2 linked regions of the Oreochromis niloticus genome follow. The protein of the gene in region 1 binds, or shares a complex with, the protein of each later gene. Links are inferred from orthologs where the notes say so. Each region holds a gene or a part of one and is shown in the gene's direction. Other genes may lie near its edges.

What was found. Proteins that work in one complex are often made in the same cells at the same time.
Region 2: mediator of RNA polymerase II transcription subunit 13-like (region 1) and med21 share a complex: the UniProt entries of both Homo sapiens proteins name them as parts of the mediator complex. The link is inferred for Oreochromis niloticus from reciprocal best matches to the Homo sapiens genes MED13L and MED21.

Annotation. Positions count from the first base shown.
Region 1 is NC_031972.2:20,823,934-20,827,688, forward strand, and holds the start of mediator of RNA polymerase II transcription subunit 13-like, read left to right. Parts: upstream 1-1,168; 5' UTR 1,169-2,745; coding exon 2,746-2,817; intron 2,818-3,755. UniProt on the Homo sapiens protein: Component of the Mediator complex, a coactivator involved in the regulated transcription of nearly all RNA polymerase II-dependent genes.
Region 2 is NC_031981.2:34,718,998-34,722,752, forward strand, and holds the start of med21 (mediator of RNA polymerase II transcription subunit 21), read left to right. Parts: upstream 1-1,609; 5' UTR 1,610-1,665; coding exon 1,666-1,749; intron 1,750-3,709; coding exon 3,710-3,755. Other genes in the region: fgfr1op2 (FGFR1 oncogene partner 2 homolog), read right to left, coding at 1-78, 257-393, 1,374-1,398. UniProt on the Homo sapiens protein: Component of the Mediator complex, a coactivator involved in the regulated transcription of nearly all RNA polymerase II-dependent genes.

The DNA of each region.
Region 1 (3,755 bases):
AGTGTATATACAACAGTTGATCTTGAGAGGAAACCAACAAATCTCTATTCAAACCTGCATTTATCAAATGTGTGGCCTTTATGTTTTGGAATATGTAAAGCTGTAAGCAAATTACAGAGGTACTTTCACTTTTAATGCTGTTTTAATGTATAGTAAAAGCTTTAGCAAACTATTGCCCAGTTACCAAAGCCTGAATGGGGCCGTATCAGCAGGCTACTATTATCTCCCAATATTAGCTATTTGTTGATCAATCATTAATAACACCCGATAGATAAAAATGTAAAATGCAAAGAGACGAAAGAAACACCCTTCAGCATAGTTTCATCACCAGGTGAATAACTTAATAACTAACTGGAATTCGGTATCTTAATTTAAAAAAAAATGTGCTTGACTGTTTTCTTTTTTTGTAAAACTGTACATTTGAAAATTCATTGATGACAGCAACAATTATATTTTAGCATTAAAAATATATTCAAAATGCATTTCAGCATTTTTAAATGTTTTTAAAAATAAATATTTAACTTTATTGACACCGTACACTAAAACAATAGTTGGGGCTTGGGGCTAGGGTGGGGTTCATGGTGGGGCTAGGGTGGGGTTCATGGTGGACTTGACTCATGATAACCGGTGTATCTTTTAAATCTTAGCTGCGGCCCTGAATACAACCACTCTAAATAACTCCCAATCTTTGGTTTGAGTCATATTGAGTATTTTTATTTTTTCGCGTGAGAAAAGCCTCAGAAATGTTTTCAGATAATATGTGATGCACATGCTGAGTGTAAGACTAACCTACATAGATATCTCTTATGAAACACAGTGTGCTCAGTAAGTCATTCTGACCTCTATTCTGTCACATCCTCTGTTGTGAGAGCACAGATACATTATGTAACCAATGCATCACAGAATGACACCGTGCAGTGATAAAAAATAAAAAAATATAATAAATAAAATAATAACCCTTCACTGCGCGTTTCAGGCAGAACAAAAGATCACAGAAACAAAGCGCACATGGCAACAATAAAGGAATCTCGGCGACTGTCGCGTCCGCCTCTAATATCAAATACACTCAACTACTGTAATCCTGGACTTTGATCACGTGAGTACAAACTTGGCCAAATGGAAAAGGCGAGTCTCGGGTAGTACGCTTCCGACCGCCATTACATTACAATGCGCGGTGGGCTGGACGATCGTGCGCGAAGAAACGCCACAGCGCTCGGCGTAAAACAAACAGACACGGAGGGTGAGAGTGACACATTCGGGCTGCGCGCACGCATACACTTCCATAGCTGCATAATAACGCCATCTGAGAGATAAACAATGAGGAAGGAGTCGCCGCCGAGGAAACCAAACACGCCTTTGAGGATTTAATTCAATAGCGAAAGAGAAACAGGAGGATGCGCTTTTAAATGCCGAGGTGGTGCTTTATGAGACATTTCAAATATATTTATATCTGCAGCATGCAACATATTCTTTATGTCAGCAACGGGCGCCAGACAAGGACGGCCACTTCTGCTTGAACTGTGCGTTTTTAAAGAAATCCTACCTGATATATGTATTTTTTTTTTCTGGTGTGCAAGACTGAGGCTGTTGTGGTCGCGAGAGGACGTTTCGTAATGATATAAAGCTGAAAGGAAGGAAGGATTTTTTCAAACCTCCGTCTGCACAGACGCCTGTTTGTCGTTTTCCTGCTGGTGGAGTGAGCCCTGTAAGAATAGTTTTTTTCTTGTCTCAACGCTTTGACTCATGATTCAGGCTAACTGAGGAACCCGCTCGACTTTGTCCGTCCTGCCGCGGAGGTGCACTTGGTTGGTTGGTTGGTGTGTGTTTGTGTGTGTGTGGAGGGGGAAGCTTTTTCTTTTTTAGAGACCTCTCCGTCTGCGCTCCCGTTTAATTCAAGAGCAACAGAGGGATTAAACATTCCTGCCCGCACCACCCGTTTGTGTGTGTGTGTGTTTGTGAGAGACACGCACACTGGGGTTACATTATTGTGAGAGGAACGGTTGTGACAAGAAAGACGGCTATAAATAGCACACGCGATTCTCGAAAACTATCACAAGTGGTGCATCAGCTTGTGGAAACGGAATCAGATATCCTGCGTGCTCCTCAACTTGATTGTTTCGCACTGCAGCGATTATATTTCAAGAAGTTTTGACTCTTTAATTTTTTTTGTTTGTTTTAGGAGGAGGAGAGGAGAGGAGGTAGGCTGTTCCCAGAGCGAGGAAGAAAAGGGAGTCGTCGTCCCCCCCCCCTACAAATGGATTACGGTCATTTAATGATGAAACTATCCGCGGAGAGACTGATTTGGAAACAGGCGGATCTTCCTCGGGATTGAAATGGATACATTTGTGCGCTCTCCGGCTGTTGACAGTGATCAGATTTGGAATCGCCCGACCTGGATTGTAACAATGTTGTGATCCCCCGCTCACGCTTGGATATATCAACACTACAACACAGGCATTTTTTTTATTTTATTTTTATTTTTTTAATGCATTCTGCACTTCTTTTTGAATACGCCCATCAGACCACTCCGAGCCTATTATCCGGACCTCTTGTGAGGTTATAAGCCTGCTTGTTTTGTTTTTTTTATTTAATTTTTTTTTTTATATATATATTATTATTTTTTATTTTTTTATTTTTTGGGGGCAGACTCGTGAGGGAACCGATTTGTCAGCCCCTGCTCGGTGTTTGATAACCGATGTAGGATTTCGACATGCCCTGCGCTGACGACCCCAAAGGCGGACCATTATGACTACATCGGCGAATTGGGTGGCTAACGGGGCAAGCCTTGAGGACTGCCACTCCAACATCTTCTCTCTGGTACGGTATTAATAAATCACGTTCGTCACAGACACGCGAGGCGGTTGTGATGGACAAGTCATAAGACAGTGGGGAGGCATGCTTTAATGTGTGCCTGCTGTACAAAGGTGAACCAATCGGTGATGTTGTTATTAGGCAATCATTAACACGGGTTAGTGATTCGGAATAAACAGCATATTTCATCACTATATGCCTGATATCATAAAAGGAGGGTTTAACGAGAATAAATCAACTTTGCTATCACATTTTCAAACCAAACCAAATCTCGTGACGCTTTAAAATGCAGGGTTCAAATGCTACCACAACTGACTGGCCAATTATTTGTGTGTTTGCATGAATCTGGCAAGTAAACAATAGATAAACAGTCATTTCTTTTCTCCCTATGAAGAGCACAGTGGCCATTATCCTCCACCCCCTTTAAATAATCATTTCACTGGAAATCTTGCAGGAACTCTAATGCATTGCCAAGCAACTAACTTGGAAAGGAGCCCTGCTGCTGCCACTGTCAGATATCTCTACAGCCAGAGACTAAAGAAAAAAAACAAAAACAAATAAAAAAACCCCCCAAAACTCTGATTTTCAGAAAATAATAGTTTTATGCATGGCGCTGCTAGAAAAAAATGCTACCTAGCTCATAACTTGGAAATAGAAGAAGATCTGAGAATGAGAATTAGTGGAATAATTGTCTCACAGGAGATTTTTTTTTTTTTTAAAAAAGCAAGAGAGATCTTGACAGGCAGCATCATGTATTAGGCACACAACGGAAGCAGCACTTTCGCACTGAAAACAAGGTGTTTTTGACTCTCCAGGCAGCAGCATTTTTGCAGAGGGTGGAAGGGAACTGAGCGGCGGTGCTTTCACAGTTTTTCATCCTGCAATCAGCGAGTTAACTGTCTTACTACAACAGGCAGCCAAGTGGAAAGGCATGCAGTAGACTG
Region 2 (3,755 bases), on another chromosome or scaffold:
CTGCTGGATTCCCAGGACTAGACTGGAACGAGGCCGATGCCGTGCAACCTCGTTCAGGGCGTCTATCTCCTCCTGGTACTATCAATAAAAAGAACAAGCAGAAAAACCTTCAGTCTAAAATATAAAATGATAGATCATCATAACAATTAAAAAATACTTTTTAAAAAGTGTTATTCCAGCTTTTGAAATAAACTTCATGGATTCTACATCAAATGCTTTAGGCCTCACATTTCCCCAAGTTCATGTGACACCCTACCTGTTTCATGGCCTCTACTCGCTTGTTGAGATGTGTCGTCTGTTCGATTAACATCTCAGCAGCGTTGTCATGGTTGCGAAGCCTTTCCACTAATGATTTGGCATCTGCCAGGACCTTCTCTAATGTACAGTTCATGCCTGAGGAAATACAAGTGATTCTTAAGAGGAGCTAGGACAAGGTTGCTTGCAAACATAGTAGTCATCCACCTCGTCAATCCTTCTTTTCTTCCCTTAAGTATTACATTTGGTTAAAGCAATTATCCATTAGCAAGCTATTCATTATAGTGATGACTGACACTATTGAATTATATCTTATTAAAATAGCTTCTTTATTTAAAGGTAGGCTGACTTTGTATCTGTACATACAGCAGCTGCAGTCAAGTGAAAGTTTTCTGGGAACTCTGAACAGTCCTAAAAAAACCTATGTATATACCATGATGCAGTGGCTTTTTGCAAGCTATTGCTGCTGTTAAGCAGCAATATGTTACAGCAGCCTTTTTCTATAAAAGTTGTCTTTTTCTATATGATAATCACTTTAATATGTTTTAAACACGACTTAAATCAGAAATGCTTGATCTAGATCTATTTTGCTTGATCAAACAACAACACCACGATATTGGTATTATATAATTTTAAAAATATCTGAAAACCAAGAAGTAACCTCAACTGAAGCGTCAGCTCTGACTTCAAAATACCAGCTAAAAATCATTCATTGACATTGTGTCTAGGCTTTCTCCTCCTCGACCTACTCGTCATTACAGCTGCTGTGTCAGCTAATTCGCTTATTACGAGCAAGCCTTGCGTGTTTTAGGCGTCAGATTCACTTTACATAATTACTTCTGAAGCACATTCGTCTCAGCTATATAAAACGTGAAGGGAATTAGTTTCTCAGTTTTCCAAATTCAGTAAGCTGACAACGTAAAATATATTTTAACAACACATACATACATACATACATACACACACAAGCTGGGCTCACTTATTAGCCAACTTACTAATCAGAGTTAAGCTTTCATGCAAATCCACTTACATGCTCGCATTATAAACGGGTGCGTATATCAAATCGGTGTTGCCATGCAATTTTAGATAATGAATTAAAGAAACAAAAATGATCATACCTGGGGAAGCCACAGTACAAGACATTGGAATTGCGTTAACTCCGCTGCTACTTCCTGTTGATGTTTAGTAGCTAATATTAGCTAAAGGCTAACATTAGTCCTCATAAAGCAGCCACAAACAGGGTCTAATAAAGATCCGTTCCTCGTTAAAATAGAAGATAACCTCCGCTGATATGAAAATATCGATTTTTAACGCGTTTCAAGTTTGCTGTGAACCCAGTTGTGAGACGGTAAAAGTAAGTAACCCAACCTTTGCCAACCAAGGTTCCCAAAATACCGAATATACCGCGAGATGTTTTATGTTCTCGCGACAGTTACGTCAGAAACAGACAATATGGCGGACCGGCTAACACAACTTCAAGACGCAGTCAATTCGGTAAGGCAAATGTTGAATATCTTAAACGTTCTTTGGTAGAAGGAGGTGTAAAAAAATATATAAAATGCATCGTCATGTCGATTAGAGTTGGTAGCTAACGCAAACCAGTGGCTCGAGTAGTTTAGTAACATGTGAACAACACGGGGTAGCTAACCATTATAGCAAGTATAGTTAAAGGCCTGTGTTACGAAACGACCAAACCAGCTCAGTTATTTTAAACAACGAAGTGTTACAGTGTTAAAACGTCGTTTTGGCTAGCTTCCTTGAACAAAATAATACAAAATAAATATATTTGGAAAAGAAAAATACTAAACTAACGTGGGAAAGTAACCCCAGAGGGTCAACATTTGATATTCAGAAGTATTTAACATGCAAAAGTAATTTCTCTATATTTGGCTTGCAAGGGACCAAATTTTCTTATTTATTTCAGTGGTCTTGAACAGAAGTTGAACTTAAAGGAATTACGAATGGAGAAAAGTAGGTCAGATTTTGATCCTTCATGTTGTACCAGCTTGCTAGAATATTGCAAAGTCTGTTTTTGCCTTACATACTGTATTTCCACATATTTTTTCCCATTTCAATAAAGTGCTGCACCTATTTGTCATTTTCCAAAACAAACAAACAAACATAATAATAATAATTATTTAAGGGTGGTTCTAGACCAGGGATGTCATTCTCCTTTTGCTTGGTGGCCTACATACAACACACTATGCACTTTGGGCCAATCAGTGAAACTACCCTTTCTGTCACTTACAGTCAGAACTTTAACTACACATTTAATCCCTGAGACATTGTAATATAGTTTTTCTACACAATAAAGAAAAGTTTGTCAGTGTGACTTGTTGGGCTTAAATTGTAGGAAATAAATGTGTAAAATTGGAGATGCTTGTCCATGCCTTCATCTCCTCTCGTTTAGATTACTGTAACGCACTCTTTTCTTGTCTGTCTAAGGCTTCCCTAAATCGCCTCCAAGTGGTCCAAAATGCCGCAGCAAGGCTTTTATCCCACAGTCATAAATTCTCCCATATCACCCCTGTGTTAAAATCCTTGCACTGGCTTCCGGTTGAGTATAGATATCAGTTTAAAATCCTCACTTTTACATTCATGTGCCTACAAGTGAGGCCCCCACTTATATCACTAAGCTTCTCCAAACCGGATCCTTAGATCCACTGATAGTGGTCTTCTAACCATTCCATGGACCCGTTTGAAAACGAAGGGGGATTGCGCTTTTCAAGCCTTGGCTCTAATATTATGGAACAGTTTACCTCACCCGCTACGCACCATCAACTCTGTAGCTACTTTTAACAGCTCAAAACACATCTGTTTAGACAGGCATTTAGGTAATATTCATGTGTAGCAAACTGTTTTACTGGATATGCTACTATACCCTATTTATAGTGTTTTATTGTATCGATTGATATGCTTTTATTCCCATGTGAAGCACTTTGAAAAAACTTCCTGTTTTAAAAAGCGCTATATAAATACATTTTACTTACTTACTAAAATAACAGAAAAAGTTCTTTTGGCTTGTTGTGTAGACTGTCCTGTAATAATATATTTTGTAATGTGACCCCATTGTAAAAAGCACAGATTTCTATAGTAGATAGTTTAAAAAATGAACTTTCTCTCATTTCATTATTTGGGGGAGGTTTTATCTTCAGGAGAAGCTGTAAAACTTATGAAAATACAGTTAAAAGTCCAAAACTTAAGCATGCCTTCACATTTTTACAGTGGGTAAAATTGGATTCTGGTCTCCGGGCCTTATGGTTGACACTGGTAAACTAAATATCTATATTTTATAATAATAATAATTTTAAAAAAAAAAACATACTTTGGTAAAACTGATGAAAGAAATGTCTTTAAATTTCTTTTGTCTGAAGTTTATGTTATCAGCAGCAGCAGCTAGTGTCTTGTTCAAATAACAGCGTAACCTATTACTGGTTTTGTTTTGTGTGTCCAGCTTGCTGATCAGTTTTGTAATGCTATCGGCGTTCTGCAACAATGTG